Linked DNA regions of Mus musculus: region 2 is reported to be linked to region 1. The links are microRNA targets in miRTarBase. Many come from high-throughput screens and were not tested one by one. Region 1 holds a microRNA gene; the other region holds the end of a gene's coding sequence.
What was found. Region 1 holds the annotated microRNA mmu-miR-698-3p (CAUUCUCGUUUCCUUCCCU, at 4,443-4,461, opposite strand). A microRNA usually pairs through its seed, bases 2 to 8, with sites in the 3' UTR of a target mRNA and lowers its output. Matches are read on the target gene's strand: a 7mer-m8 pairs with bases 2 to 8, a 7mer-A1 pairs with bases 2 to 7 and ends in A, and an 8mer does both.

Region 2: the mRNA of Kcnn1 is a reported target of mmu-miR-698-3p. The part of its 3' UTR that is shown has no 7-base or 8-base seed match.

Annotation. Positions count from the first base shown.
Region 1 is chr4:124,740,486-124,748,312 of GRCm38, reverse strand. Mir698 (microRNA 698) reads right to left here and starts at 4,532; the gene lies at 4,424-4,532. It overlaps Inpp5b (inositol polyphosphate-5-phosphatase B), which reads right to left and starts at 6,463. Exons shown (of 24, transcript NM_008385.4): 1 at 6,397-6,463; 2 at 5,723-5,849; 3 at 5,283-5,377; 4 at 4,580-4,677; 5 at 4,410-4,439; 6 at 2,131-2,241. The coding sequence starts at 5,779. It overlaps Gm12915 (predicted gene 12915), which reads left to right. Exons shown (of 4, transcript NR_151694.1): 2 at 3,134-3,326; 3 at 6,392-6,539.
Region 2 is chr8:70,839,368-70,847,194 of GRCm38, forward strand. Kcnn1 (potassium intermediate/small conductance calcium-activated channel, subfamily N, member 1) reads right to left here. Exons shown (of 10, transcript NM_032397.3): 8 at 7,397-7,405; 9 at 7,128-7,197; 10 at 3,797-5,194. The coding sequence ends at 4,949. It overlaps Arrdc2 (arrestin domain containing 2), which reads right to left and starts at 353. Exons shown (of 8, transcript NM_027560.1): 1 at 1-353. The coding sequence starts at 34.

The DNA.
Region 1 (7,827 bases):
TAGTGTTCTTAAGGGCGGAGCCACCTATCCAGCCCCCTAAGCCTTATGCTTTATGTCTGAACCATGGTGGCACCTGCCACCTACGTACTGTTCTGCTCTCCCTGCACCAGGCTCTCACTGCCTTCCATACCTGTCACCAGTGGAGTGTCTCAAACTGCCAAATCTTACTGGAAACATTTGGAAACTCTTTGAAGGGCTCTCCACAAGCTGCAGGGCAGAGTCCAAGCCTCTCTGGACTTTGTTACTCTTCCTGAGCTGCCCTTTGCTCAATCCTCTGGCTCTCCACACCTGTCCGAGCTGAGTAGCACCAACCACTGCTCCCGGATGCCCAATGCCCTTTCTCCTTCTTTTGCCTGATTTGGGGGGTGGGGAGTGGGAGAGGTGCTTGTTTTCCTTATAGTCTGAGCTTCAATGTCACCTCCTCCGGGAAGCTTCCTCTGAGCTGTTTACATAAAAAGAAAGGCACGAGCCAAGGAAGCTCTCAAGCAAAGCCCTCCAGGATGCAGAGGACACCCAGGCAATCCTGGCCTCACCTAGGAGGAACCCACCTTGCCAGCTCACTAGCCATACATGCAGGCAGGGCCCTTGCCCTCTCTAAGGCCTGAGTTCCTTTATCTATAGAAAGAGACACTGATAATACCAACCTTGTAAGGTATGGTAAGAGTTAACAGGCTTAGAAAAGACTCTAGCTCGATATGGTGCCAAACACCTTTAATTCCAGCATTTGGGAGGCAGATTCTCTGTGAGTTCAAGACCAGCCTGGTCCACATACTGAGTTTCAAGATACCCAGACCTATGTGTACTGAGACCCTGTCTCAAAAATACCAAAAGAGAGAGAGGGAGAGAGGGAAGGAAAGAAGGATGGGGGGGGGGAGAGAGAGAGGAAGGAAGAAAGAAGGAGTCTAAAGCATGACACATCAATGATAAACTTTAGATATGCCAGGCCATGGTGGCACATGCCTTTAAACAAACTACTCAGGAAACAGAAGCTGGTGAATCTCTGAGTTTGAGGCCAACCTGGTCTGCAGAGCCAGTTCCAGGACAGTCAAAGATATACAGAGAAACCCTTTCTCAGAAAAAAAAAAGTTTGGATTTTGGAAGATTTCCACTTTGATACTTCGATGTTAGGGATGTCCAATCTCAATATTAATATTAATAATTATTATTACCCTTGCTTGCAACCACTACTAACAATCATAAATTATCTTTATTATGTTACATTTTGTTTATTTACTTATTTATTCATTAATTTATTATTAACTATTTACAAAACAGCACTTAAACCCATCCAAGGCTCCATTAATTCTTGTCCTGATTTCCTTTTACCAAACTAGCCTCCAAAGTCGGTCACCTTCCTGGCACACCTAGAGAAATGCTTGGAGCCGGATGTTAAGGCCCCATAGGCAGCTGTCATAGGAGACAAACCCTCGTACGTTCCTGCAGAGACCAGACATTAGCTTTAAAGGGACTCCTCCTTATCAGTGCCCGGTGAGCACCTGAGCCCCAGCACCTGGCAGCATGAATTTGCATTCTCTGTCACTGGGCCTCCGCTCTGTACACAACCTCTCTGCTTGCCTGGCTGATCTCCCATCTAAACAAATTTTGTCAAATGGCACCAACTTCTTCTTGCTGGGCCAAAGCTAGCCTTTTTTTTTTTTTTTCTTCTCCAGCTGCAATGGGGAACAGAGCAGGGTTTGAGCGGAATACATTTGACAGACTTCTCTTGGTTGTAGCTATGGATACTGGAGAATTTGGACCCCTCTGCTAACTTGGAGGAAGCCCCGAATCCTCAGAGTCACAGCCCAGTTAACATTCAGGTTTAGTAACCAGAAACAGAAAACCAAACGCCGGCCAGGTGTGGTACACAAGCTTGTAAGGCCAGCACTCGGGAGGGAAGCTGAGGCAGAAGGATCAGGAATAGGGAGCGAAACCCTCATCTCAAAAAGGGAAAGCAAACGTGTAGCTAGCTGGCAGCCCAGGCACTGTGACTCCATGCCAGCAGCCTTGAGATGGTGCGGAAACTGAGTTGTATGACCCCAATGGGGTTGGAAAGTCAACTGTCACTACCAAGAGAGTACAGCAGTGCTCTCAGCCAACACAGCCTTTCCAGGAAACCTGGCTCTTACCTACCTGGACAGGCTCTGGCCACTTCCTGGAGGAACGTTCTGGTGTGTGAACCAAAGGGAAGTTGGAATACAAGCTTGAGTTCAGCTGTGTTCAATTGTACTGTCACATCAGAGCCTGTAGAGAGGAGACAAGAAATGCAGTCACCAGTAGCTAAATACTAAAATGTATTAAGAGGAGACTCTGCGAGCTAGAGAGCTGGCTCAGCTGTTAGGAGCACTTAACCCTTCCAGAGGACCCGAGTTCAATCCCCAGAACCCACATAGCAGCTTATAACTGTCTGTAACCCCAGTGCCAGGGGATCTGATGCCCTCACAGAGACATACACAAAGGCAAGACATCAATGCACATAAGTTAAAAATAAATATTTTTTTAAAAAAAGAATGGACTCTGCCTGGTGGAGGTGGCACACACCTTTAATCCAAGCACTCAGGAGGCAGAGGCAGACACAACTCTGTAAGTTCAAAGCCAGCCTGGTGTACAGAGCAAGTTCCAGGACAGCCAGGCCTGGAAACAGAGAGAAACCCTGCCTTGAGAAACTATTTAAAGGAGATCTGGAGAGATAGCTTGGAGGTTAAGAGCACTGGCTATTTTTCCAAAGTTCCTAAGTTCAATTCCCAGCATCCCTATGATGGCTCACAACCATCAATAATGAGATCTGATGTCCTATTCTGGCATGCAGGCACATATACAGGCAGAATACTGTATATATAATAAGTCTTGAAAAAAAACAAAAAAACATAAAAAAAAAGAGAGAGAGAATCTGCAAAATGGCAAATCAGAAAGCCTAAACTTGGGCTAGTGAAATGGCTCAGCAGTTAAGAACACTGGCTACTCTTCCAGAAGTCCTGAGTTCAATTCCCAGCAACCACATGTTGCTCATGACCACATGACCATCTATAAAGGGATCTGATGGCACATAGGTGTGCTTGCAGCAGAGCACTCCTACATTTGGGGGAAGAGGAGATTGGGAGATTGCTGTGTGATTGGGATGTAATGTGGATTTAAGTTCTCCAGCTCTGTGAACTGAAGAGCATGCAGAAGTGCACTGCAGCACCTGCCTATCTGCTGGTCCACCGTAGAGCCAGGCCCTGAGAATGACATGATGAGGAGAAAAGACTACACACAGGAGAGGCCCAAGCTGAAAGATGTGGCACTTACAAGAGCAGGGGACCCTGGGGCCACTGGAGATGGCTCAACAGGTAAGTGTTTGCTGCCAAGCCTGAACGAGCTGTCCTTTGGTCGCCACACAGACACCATGGTAATTCAAGTACACATACACACACTCTAAATAGTTAGTGTGGTAAGTTTTTTTACATTAAAGGTAGGTTTATTGGGAAGCTGCTTGGGTGGGGGCTCACTGGTTCAAAGGACTGAGGCCAGGCGAATCACCATGGGGAAAGGTACAGGGGGAAGGAAGTTAGAAAGGGCTCAGGGAGAGAAGGGGAGAAGAGGAGCATGGGATAGTTTTTTTTTTTTTAAGAAGAGCGAACTGGCGGGGCAGTGGTGGCGGCACATGTCTTTAATGCCAGCACTCAGAGGCAGAGGAATTCGAGGCTAGTCTGGTCTACACAGTGAGTTCCAGGACAGCCAGGGCTACATGGAGAAACTCTGTCTTGGAAAACCAAAAAGAAGAAGAGGAGGAAGAAGAGAAGGAAAAGGAGAGGGAGAGGGAGTAGGGGGAGGAGGAGGAAGAAGAGGAGGAGGAGGGAAAGAAGGGGGAAGAGGAACAGCAGCAGGAGAAAGAGGAAGAAGAGAAGGAAGAAGGAGAGGAGGAAGGGGAGGAGGAGGAGGGTTACAACTTGTGGTGTCTGAGGTGATGATGGAGCCCACCTGGAGGACTGAAACGCACTGACAAGGGGTGATTAAGGAAAAAGAGCTGGTAGAGGGTAGCACCTGATTCTTAGTCACCGTAGTATGGACACCAGGAAAGTTTTCTCTAGAGTAAAAGCCCAGAAGCTGGATCTTTCATTCTACCTAGTGGGTTCTGGGACTCGAACTCGGAAAGTTGGTCTTGACAGCAAGCACCTTTCTCCACTAAGCCGTTCCACCAACCCAAGAATTTTCTCTTTTGGTTTGTTGTCAGTCTACGGCTTGCCTAGAACTCACAATGTAAGTCCAGACTGACCTCAAATTCAAGGCAATCCCCCTGCCTCAAGCCTCCCACATGCTAGGATTTCAGGCACCTAGCATCACTCCCATCCAGGCATGTTCTCGTTCATCTTTCTGTCTTTGGAACCTGTCCCATTGACCTAACAGGGACCCAGATTGAAAGGGCTACTCACCAAGGATGTAGAGTTCACCATCTGGGGACACTGAGGGAAGGAAACGAGAATGTCTTTAGCAACTGAACATCCCTGTCCCACCCACATAGCCACCACCCTCCCTTACAGTGAGGGCAGAGATGAGTTGGGGGCCACCCAGAGGAGAGCATACCACCCGGCCCAACTGGCACCTTCTTCCAGCATAAAATCTTTTGAGAGTGGCACTATCTGGTCCAGAGATACATCGTCTCCTGTGATGGCCATCCTCCGGTGTGTATACAGGAAGAGACTAAGGGCAGAAATGAGTGGAAGGCCCAGCTTAGAGTGCTTGTGGTCACCTGTGGGTCCCTAGTGCTTAGCTGGCAGTGCCCTAGCCATACGCATGGCTCAGGCCCTTTCCATGCACAGTGTCCAGTGATGCAAGAGCAGTACACATTCCAACCATCTCTTCAACCCCATCCCTTCCCTTTTTGAGGTAGGGTCTCACTCTGTAGCCTAGGCTGTGCTTAGAATGTAGCCCAGGATGGCCTGGAATTTGTGACAGTCCTGCCTCAGCTTCCTGGTGCATGTGCTCGCTCGTTCCCAGTTCAACCCTCTGTACTTTACTCTGGGTAAATGGAGCTATGAAGAACAATTTGCATAGGATTGCAGCATCCGGATTTAAACTCGGGCACTCACACAAACTCAAAATCTGGCCAAGTTTGATATAACTGCCTCTCCTCTAAAAGCTTCCACATCACATCTTGCTGATTATTAAAGGCTTAGAACACGGTGTTCCAGAACACTATCATTGTGTTAATTAGTCTAGGAGACTCAGACAGAATGACTGAAGTCCAGCTGGAGGATACTGAAGAACCACCCATGGCCCACACAGGCAGTCTGAGCCCTACTTACGCATGCTCCTGGGCGTCATTTTCCAGCCGGTACCTCACCAGCCCGAGCAGGCGGCTCTGCCGGCTATCTCCCTTACACAGCACACCTTGGACTGCCTGCTGCTCAGAGTGAAGGGAAACTGAAAGCCAAAGGGCGAAACTCCCCATCCGGCCCACTCCACCACGCTGCCTTTCCCTCTCCCACTGGCAAACGACTTCACCTCTCTGAGTTTTCCTCATCTGCAAAATGGGTATAATAGTCTCCAACTTTGCAGCTGGTTGAGAAAATAGCTACCTATGTAAAGCACCTGGTAGAGAGACCAGAGCCAAGTGAATACTTGGTAAATATTGGTTTACCTTTTCCCATATGGCTTCGAGAGAAATTTTTCCACACCCTCCATCCCACCTCCCAAGGCTGAAGCAGGCACGATCTGGATGGCAACCTACAACTGGGAAGGATATGATGACGCAGTATTCCCCCTCAACCAGGGTCTCCTGGATTGCCACAGACTGGTCCATGCTGAGCTGTCAAACCCTGGGGTAGGGCAGGTGGGAACCTCCCATTCCGTATTAGAGCTGCTTCGGGGGGCTGTGGGGATGAAGAAAGGGGCCTTTGTGGAGGGAAAAGAGAGAGCCTGGTCATCTCTCTTCTCCTTCTGGCCTTCCCCGTCTTTCCTACAATGGGTCTCTCAACGTTTCCAGAAAATGGGTTTCTACCCCTTTGCCCCTTGCTCGGTGTCGCCCCAGATGTTCCCAGTGGAGTTCAGTATGCTCTCTGGTCTCCTTGCTTCTGGGTACAGCTCTGATGCCCTCTTCAGGGAGCAGTTGTGGTCCATCTGGCTCTTCTCTGGGAAAGGTTGGTGGTGTGTCCAAATAGGGGTAGGGAGACAGCCTTCGCCTCAGTCTCAGCTAGGAGGGTCTTATTCTGGAGAAATAACCCAGCCCCGCTGCTCTTTCCTCGGAGCCTGTGGGTGTCCCGTTGCTCCTTGCCCCTCACCCCACCCAACAGGCCCCGTTGCATCAGCAGCAGGTTAGGAGTGTCCATTCTGGCACCCACAGGACAAGGGCCCCAGCAACCAGCTTGCAAGCCCCCTCCCACTCTGCACTTATTTCAGATCCTTGTCATTGCAGCCTACCTCCCGAGCTGTCACCGGTGGGCCTGCAGGACACCTCCGTTCCAGGGCAGATTAAGGACTACATTTCCCAGCGGCCCTGGCGTCACAGGACGGACAGCCAGCCTGCAAGTCCCAGCATGCCCGAGTCGGACATGGACGAGTAGGTGGGTCTCCCCGCCCTTACTCTATTTAAAAATCTAGAATCTACAGTCTGTATTCAAGCATACTCGGGCGTCCCAGTTCTGGAAAGCCTGCGTGAGGAACGCCTTTCTCAGCCCACTAAATCAAAGGGCCAAGGCCCATGTCCAAGGCAGAAGGAAGTGGTCATGTTACCCTAACGGAAAAAATGATGTTAACTTTTATTTTCAAGTTAAGTCCATCCTCAACTCTTCACATGCAGAAAGGGACAGCTTTCTATTATTCTGAAACACTTCCAGATAACTACCGTGCCCTGGCTTCATGTATGTCACCTTCTCCACTTGCCAGGTGGAGAAACGGAGGAACAGAGAGACAAAACTGTTTGACAAAGTCCGTAGCCAATAAGTGCTGGGTGCCCAGAGGGAAGTCCAACTCCAATTCCTGTGTCATTTTCCCGTCTAGGAACTGCTAAATGTTCTTAAGACCTATCTAGCTTTTCTGTCAATGGAACTTGAAATGTGTGGCATCTTTATCTGTGACACAGTAATGACAACCACCAGGCAGCGCGGAGGACTCTTCTTAACAGCGGAGGACGATGTGGCCCTCTTGGCTCTTTATTTCTTTAAAGATCTGTTAGTTTTTAATTTTTTGTGTGTATGTGTGTGTGCTTGCATGAATTTATGTGCACCGTGTGTGTGTGTGTGTGTGTGTGTGTGTGTGTGTGTGTGTGTGTGTGCACGCTCACCTAAGAAGGCCAGAGGTCATCAGATCCTCGGGGCTGGTGACAGGAGGCTGTGAGACACCTGATGTGTGTGGTGGGAACTGGGTCCCAAGAAAGAGCAATATGTTCTCTTAACTAAGGAGACATCTCACCGCAATGCCCAGATAGACAGCCCTGAGCAGGTTTTGTCCTCAAGCCCCTTAGCCACATTCTATTGGCCATTTACCCTGACAGGAACTATTCTCTTCCAGACTCCATTGTTCCCTTCTAGGTAAAGACTATATATAGCTAAACCGGGGATGGTGGCACACTCCTTTAATCCCAGCACTCGGGAGGCAGAGGCAGGCGGATTTCTGAGTTCGAGGCCAGCCTGGTCTACAAAGTGAGTTCCAGGACAGCCAGGGCTATACAGAGAAACCCTGTCTCGGAAAAAAAAAAAAAAAAAAAAAAAAAAAAAGACTATATATAACTCAAGACAGGACAAAAGAAGCTAGCTCAGACGAGAGAGTCTAGAATGGTTGGTTTTTTCTCAACTGCTGACTATTTCGGTAAGCTGGATCCCTGAGGACTGGGCTGAATCTTGCCCTTACACT
Region 2 (7,827 bases), not on the chromosome of region 1:
CTACTACGAACGCCTTCACCTTATCGAACAGCATTGCGGTGACGGTCGCGAACCCAAAAAAGAGATCGGCCAGGTGCTCGAACCCGCGAAAAGAAAGAGCTAGAGACTGCGAACGCAGCGGGCTCGAACTACGTACACACACAAGCGGGACAACAGGACGGAAGACCGCTGGGGACCCGCAGCTGCGTCGCACTTATAGGACGGTTGGAGGGCGGGGCCTGAGGAGAAGACCGCACCTACCGGAAGAGACTCCGCAAACACAGCAGTAGGGAACGGGACCCCAGAAAAGACTAGGCCAATAGCGCGGCGAAGGAATGGCCTGAGGAGAAAGCCACACCTTCAGGAGAAGACTCCACCAATAGCGCGCTGAGGAGGCGGGGCCTGAAAAAGCCTGGTTCTGCTGAGAGAATTAGGCCAAAGGCTCCACGAGGGCGGTGGCCTGATAGAAAGCTCCCCCCCCTACAAGGGACCAGGCCAATAGCGTGTGAAGGGCGTGGTCTGAGGGGGCAAAATCAGCTCCTGCGAGAAAGTCAGTAGCATCGAGGGGCGGGGCGGGGCGGGGCGTTAGAGAAAGCCTCGCCTACCGGAAAGAACTTCACCAATAGCGCGGTGGGGCGTGGCCTCACGAGGCTCCAGACAAAATAACCCTTGCTTGGTTCTGAACCGGAGCCTAAGTGGGAGGTGCTGCAGCGCGGCTCTGCCGCCTTAGGTCTCGCAAATACACAAACAAGGAAGCCCAGGAATAGGGAAACTGGTCTTAGTCACCCAGCGTGACAACTGTCACTATTTTTTTTTTCTGTTGCTTTTTGAGACGGGTTCTCATGTAGCCCAAACTTACCTGGGACTTGAGACAGTCCCCCTGCTTCTGTTTACAAGATTGGCCAGTAGTTTTGTGTTCCCTTGGCTAGTCTGGAACTCACTGTGTAGACCAGGCTGGCCTTGAACTCATAGAGGCGAGGTTGCCACTGCTTCCCGAGTGCTGGAATTAAAGCTCAAATCGGATTTCTGAACCCGAAAGCTTTATTTTCTTCTGAGGCCAAGTCTCACATAGCCTCCAATGCATCTCGTACTCTAACCAAGCCCGATGTTGAATTTGCCATCCTCCACCAGTCTTCCAGAGCTGACTTGATAGGCGTTTGCCTTAGTACCTGACTGTTTCTTAAACTTAAAAAAAAAAAGATTTATTTATTTGTATATGTATATGAGTACACTGTAGCTGTCTTCAGACACACCAGAAGAGAGCCATTACAGATGGCTGTGAGCCACTGTGTGGTTCCTGGGAATTGAACTCAGGATCTCTGGAAGAGCAGTCTGTGCTCTTAGCCACTGAGCCATCTCTCCTGCCCGGCCTGGCTTTTTCTTATGTTTTCAGACAGGATCTCACACTGTAACCCAGGCTGCCCGGGAACTCAAGGCAATGGAACTCCGGTGTCAGCCTCTTAGATGCTGGGTTCGCAGGTGTGTCCACTAGGCCAGAACCTCCCAGCTTAATCATCAACTCGCTGCCGCCTGCAGACCTATCTGGGGCACCTTTTTTCAGGCCCATTGTTTCCGGCGATGCGAATTGGTGGGGACAGGGAAGTGTTGGTCCTTTCCCCCCCCCCCCGCATTGGGCACCCCCATTCAACCTAAAGGACCCTGGCAAGGGACAAGGAGGATGTGCCTCAATTTCCACTTCCATAAGGCCTAGGGGAACTTAGTCCCTCAGATCCAGAAAGGGATTGCCGTGCATAGGCAGCAAATCCAGGAGACTCTGATATTTTGAGTCAAGGGCTGCAGTGTACCTGGGGATAGGGAGACCCTTCTGGAATGTAACAGGAAGAATTGCTCCTGCAGGGAAACCTGCCCGGCATTTGTAGACACGGGCACCCCCTGGTGGACATGGGATGTACTGCGGCTCGTATTCACTCCTGAGCCCAGCTGTGTGAACGAACACAGGTTCACAGCCTTATGAACCAGGCTGCAGCACCCCCTGCCCGCAGCCTGGAGAGGACAAGGCGGCCTGGAGGACCAGAGAAGTCCCACAGGTCTTGGACTAAAGAAAAGTGCGGGAATTGAAGACGCCCCCTCCCAGAGTGAGTGTACCACACAGATAAGTCTCGGAGACCAGAGAGAGGGTTTGGCCTTCGCCTGGAGTCACGGAGTAAGTCACACCCCACCCAACCCCACCCCACCCCGTGTGTGTTAGAGGAAGTCCTCAGTGAAAGTCTGGGTGGCTTCAGGATTTCCTTTGAGTCACCTGGAGAAAAAAGTTTCAACGGGGTCTCTTCCTGGCCCACTGGACAGACGCTGACTTCCTTCATCCAACTGAGGATTTATCTGTTTAGAGCAGCTGGAAGCAGATGTGGGGCCCCGCTTCTGACCTGCCTATTTCACGGTCCGGCATAGTGAAGCCTGGCTTAGCTGAGTGAGTGAGTGAGGGGCAGGGAGCCCAGAGACACCACATCTGCCCTGCAGGCACACAGCAAGGCTCAGGGATAGGAATGCCCTAGGGGTCTCATAAGTGAACTGGGAGGGGTTATGACCCGGATTCACAGTGGAATGTCTTCCATTGCAGTCTGCCACAGGCTCCTTCCCAGTGGGAGAGATTCCCTTCCTATCCACAAACACCATCAGACCCGCCCCCACTTCAGGGACAGACCCAGAGTAGCAGACAAGGCAAGGTAAACTGAGACAGAATTCGGGGTGCACACACGAGAAGCTTCTTTGAGAATCGGGACCCCCTCACCTGGAGGTCCTAAACAGGAGACTCTCTAGCCCATCCTGGGTTTCCACAGATCCTGAATCCCCTGCTTTAATTGGGAGTGTTCCACTGTCAACCTCTATTTCTAGGTTGTCACAGGCCTGAAATAGGGACATAGTCCAGGCAGGAGGACTTCATCCAGGATAGATGGGCGTCCCTATGTGAAATCCTAACTCTGGGAGCCCTTATGATTTTTGTGACAGTATATGTTAGCTCAGGCTACCCTCAAATTATGAGGCCCTGATCCTCCTGCCTCAGCTCCCCAGTGCTGGAATGACAGATATGTGCAGCCACATCTAACTTTTTAAGAAAAGTCTTGAGAAAGGGTCTCTCTGTGTAGCTCTGGCTGGCCTTGAGCTTCTGGAAATCCACCTGCCTCAGCTTCCTGAGTGTCTACTGCTTCTGCGAGCTCACCTGGAAGTAACATCTGCTGGTGTCACAGGTTGTCTTGGCTGCGGTGAAGTCACTGGCCACGGCGTTCACGCCTACGCTGCGCTCCAACCGCGCACCACCACCTCAGGTGCTTGCACATGCAGCAGTGCGGCTGCCTGGAACATCACCAGCCTGGCAGCCGCTGCCCCCGACCCCCGCGGCGCCCGAAGCTGCGCAGGGAGCCCAGCTGCATGTCCCACGAACCGGGTCCCTAGACACCCGGACTTCCTACTCCATGACGTTGATTATTAAGTCCGGGGCAGGGAAAATGTGTCCTCTGACCGAGGCGATCTGTGGCCTCACAACTGCGTTTTATTCTCTCTCTCTCCCTCCTTCCCTCCGTCCTTCCCCCCCTCCCTTTCTTTTTGGTTTTCTGTATAGCCCTGGCTGTTCTGGAACTCACTTTGTAGACCAGGCTGGCCTCGAACTCAGAAATCCGCCTGCCTCTGCCTCCCAAATGCTGGGAGTAAAGGCTTGCACCACGCCAGGCCATTTTATACTCTCATTTAGCCCCAGCCCGCCTCCCGGTGATGCACAGACCTTAGAAACACGCAGCGCGCAGTTGGAATCTGAAGGACCCTGTTGTCCTCCACGCCCAAATGTTTCACCAGAATCCCAAGTCACCTACAGCCTTGTTTATTTCTGTGCCACCCCACGTCTTACACTGTATACACTGCAACCCACCTGCCTTTGCCTCCTAGGTGTTAGGAATAAAGGCATGTGTCACATTGACCTGCCTTGTTTATTTCTTCTGGACCTGTTTTGATCTCAGTCCCCTTCCTGATGGACAGGAGCTAATACTGGGCTCAGAAGGGGCAGGATGGGTCCATGTTTCCCAAGCCCTCATGGGCAGTCTTAGGAAGGAGGGGGTATTTATTGAGCACCTACTGTCTGACCCGTGTGGGGGTTGGGTTAGGCCTGTTTCCCACAGCAGCAGGGGAATAAAGCCTGCCCAGGTCCACCCCAGAGCTCCACCCCACAAACTTATAGAATCCAAACTGGGCCTCTGGGTTCCCACACAGGTCCACTATCTCCCAAGACAGGTGGCTGAAAGTCTGATCAGAGGACACTGTGACTTAGGCTGCTCTTGATAAGCCGCCCATGCCTGTGAGGTGTCTCAGTGTTCCCCAAGTACCCAAAGTCTGAAGCCTAAGGTCTGAAGTGACCGTGGTGACTCTGCTCGTCTGTAACCCTGGCCTCTCACCCTCCCGTGTGTCCTTACTTTGACATCAGGATCCCCAAGTAGAATCTATCCGCTTATGCTGTTTAACAAGTGTGTTTGCCTCAGACCATTGCTGTGTGGCTACAGGCAAGTGGCCTCACCTCTCTGAATTCTCATTTGTTTGTATCTTACTCCAGTTAGATAGATCCTGAAGAAAAGCCATTGTTTCAGTCCCTGTATACAGTAGATACTCAATGCATGTGCAGTGACTTTCCACGTCTGTCCCCGTCCATTAAGGAATCCCCAGGTGGGGTCATCTACCTCCTCTGGGGAGATGTTTGCAGCCCCCTGCATGTCAACAGAAAGCGGGCTGGAAGCTCCTGATTTACTTAGAAATGTTGAGGCCCCTGCTACTACTCCTTGCCCTCCTGGGGCCTGGGACAGCTAAGGGGACCTGGATCCTGTGGCCCAGCCTCAGAAGGATGAGTGCCAGTCCAGTCGGCTCAGTTCACCCAAGCTTCTAAATGCAGTAGTCCGGAGGTCCAAAACGGCAAGGAGCTAGCTGTGGCCACACGATGGCTGAGATGGAGCAGTCTAGCGGTCAGCAGCCATCACCCACAGTCTGATCCCATGGTGGGCAGCCAGTGGCTTTGTGGGCTCTGGGTGGCTGTGGCCAGGTGACCAGGCCCAGGCCAGGGTGGTGGTAGAGGGCATATGGCTTGGGCTATAAGGCCTGGTAGAGCCTGCAGGGAGGCACCCAGGACATCCAGTCGGCTCTCCAAGGCGGCTAGGCGTGCCTCCAACTCCTCCTGCTGGGCCTGCAGCTCTGACACCACCTCATATGCGATGCTCTGTGCCTACAGAGATGGAGAGACAGACCGAGTGATAAAGGGAGGGACCAGGAGATGGCTGAGGGCAGAGGGCTAAGGACAGTAGGGGCCAGCATGAGGATTAAAGAGCAGGGGACTGAGCAGTTTTTGTTCCAGCAGCTCGCCGGCTGTGTGACCAGCAGGGGGCGCCAGAGGTGCAGAGTCCCAACACAGGCCGCCAGGGAGCTGGTGAACATGTCAGGCTCAGATGGAGCTAGAGAATGGTTTTCTTCTTTGGGCCACCATGGCTTTGCCCAGACTGTAGCTTACCTGTCCCTACTTGTCCAGAAACCAGGATGTGACATTTGAAGACACCCATAACTGTTAGCTCATAGCCCTCTCTGGTATTGTTTGTTTGTTTATTCATTTATTGAGACAGGGCATAAATAACCATGTAGCCTTGGCTGGCCTGGAACTCCCTACCTGGACCAGACTGGCCTCAAACTCAGAAGCCAGAGACCTGGGATTAAAGGTTTGTGCCGCCAGACCCAGCTTGGCTTTATTTGTTTGGTTGGTTTTTATTTATATGTATGTGTGTATTTCTTGAGACAGTCTCCAGGCTGTCCTTGAATTTGAAGCAATCATCCTCCTGCAGCCATGTGAGTACTGGAGTAAACTATGTGAAATGAACCATTATGACTTCTGAACTCTAGAAGCTGAGGCAGTGTAGCGTCCCCCAGCGGTGAGCAGGCTGGCTCAGACCTGTTCTGCCACTGTGAAGGGGACCACCTGGGGTGGAGACTTCCGAGACATAGCTAGGTCTAGTGTTCTGCCCCCTCTGTGCTCTTCTCCAAGATGCTGCTGCCTGCTGACAGGCTGAACCTGTCTTCCTGAGCCGATCCTGAATAAGCAACAGCCTGGCCACCAAGTACTGACAGCCTGGCGGCAGAGCAAGGAGAACCTGGAGTGTTGGAGGATGGCCCTTTCACCTTTATAAGCTCAGACTCTTAAGTAAACTTTGGGCCTTGATCAGTATCTTGTCTTGGTCTCGTTATTTCTCTCACCATTTCCTCCCATACAGCCCCAGCCTCCGATTCAGGAACCCGGTTCGTGTAGCTGCAGGCAGCTACAAGGCAGGAGGATCAGGAATTCTAAGTTGTCCCTGGCTACACAGTGAATTCCAGGATAGACTGGGCTACATGTCACACTGTCTTAAAAACAACAAAAAGGTCGGGCAGTGGTGGCACACACCTTTAATCCCAGCACTTGGGAGTCAGAGGCAGGTGGATTTCTGAGTTCAAAGCCAGCCTGGTCTACAAAGTGAGTTCCAGGACAGCCAGGGCTACACAGAGAAACCCTGTCTCAAAAACTCCAAAAAAAAAAAAATGGAGGTTGGAGGTTGGAGAGATGGTTCAGTGGTTAAGAACACTGACTGCTCTTCCAGAGGTCCTGAGATCAAATCCCAGCAACCACATGGTGGCTCACAACCACCTGTAATGGGATCTGATGCCCTCTTCTGGTGTGGCTGAAGACAGCAGCAGTGTACTCACGTACATATTAAATAAATAAATATTTAAAAACAAACAACAAAGAATTTAATATCTTCTGAAGACATTACTGGGTAGAATGGGACTAGAAAGTGGAGTCTCTGCCTAAACTCCCCCAGTGAGGGGCTGGAGGTGTGGCTCAGGGTGGAGTCCATGTCTAGAATCCTATGCTGTAAATGTAGTCAATGCTGAGTCTCTATATAGCCTGTGCTATTTTTGATCTCCTAGCCTCAAAGGATCCTTCTGCCTCAGCCTCTGAAGGAGCTAGAACCCTGGCTGTGGATGCCTGGAATATTACTCATGAATTTAAACTGAAGAGCCAAGTTGAGCATAAATACTTGATGCTGCATTGTGGGTTTCTGCCTCCTCTGATTAGACACTATCCCCGTGTCCCTGGAAGCCCATTCCTCCCGTCCCGTCCTGGTGATGCTCACCTTGGCCAGCTCAGCCAGCGTGTTGGCCTGATCGTTCACCTTCCCTTGTTCAATCTTCACACTTCGGAGCCTGGGGATAGGGCAGGGACAGGGGCAGGTCACTCGGGGCTGAGGGTGGAATGCATTTGTAATCTTGGTCCAGATCAGGCCATTTCCAAGAGCCTGGATGCAGGCCCATCCACAAGACTAAGACAGACACATTCTCTGTCCACTAGGGACCCCCCACGGGCATCATGCACCACCAGACTTCCAGTCACCCCAAGACTTACTTCTGAGCCCTGGGAGGAGCCAGGAGAGTGCAGAAAAGGAAAACGGAGAAAGAGAAAAAGCACAGTTTAATTTTAATCTCATGCAGTGACTGGCTGAGTGGCCGCAGCCCCAGCCCCGTAGCCAGGTGCCTCCCCAGTTCCCAGCAGGGGCTCCTGGGCTGCCAAGGAGCTACTGCCCCCATGTGGCAGGGATCTGGCCTCATAAGGCGACACCTGCGCCCTGTCACCCCGGGGACTTCCCGGCAGCCCTGGGTAGATGCTATTCACTGCCCTTCTCCCACAGTCCTCTGAGTGGCACCTTGCCTCCATGGGCAACTTGCTTAGAAAACATCCTGGATGAAAACAGAGGTTGGCAAGGGCAGTGCCATAGGGATCAGCATACAGACAGGATCAGGGATCAGCATACAGACAGGATCAGGGATCAGCACAGA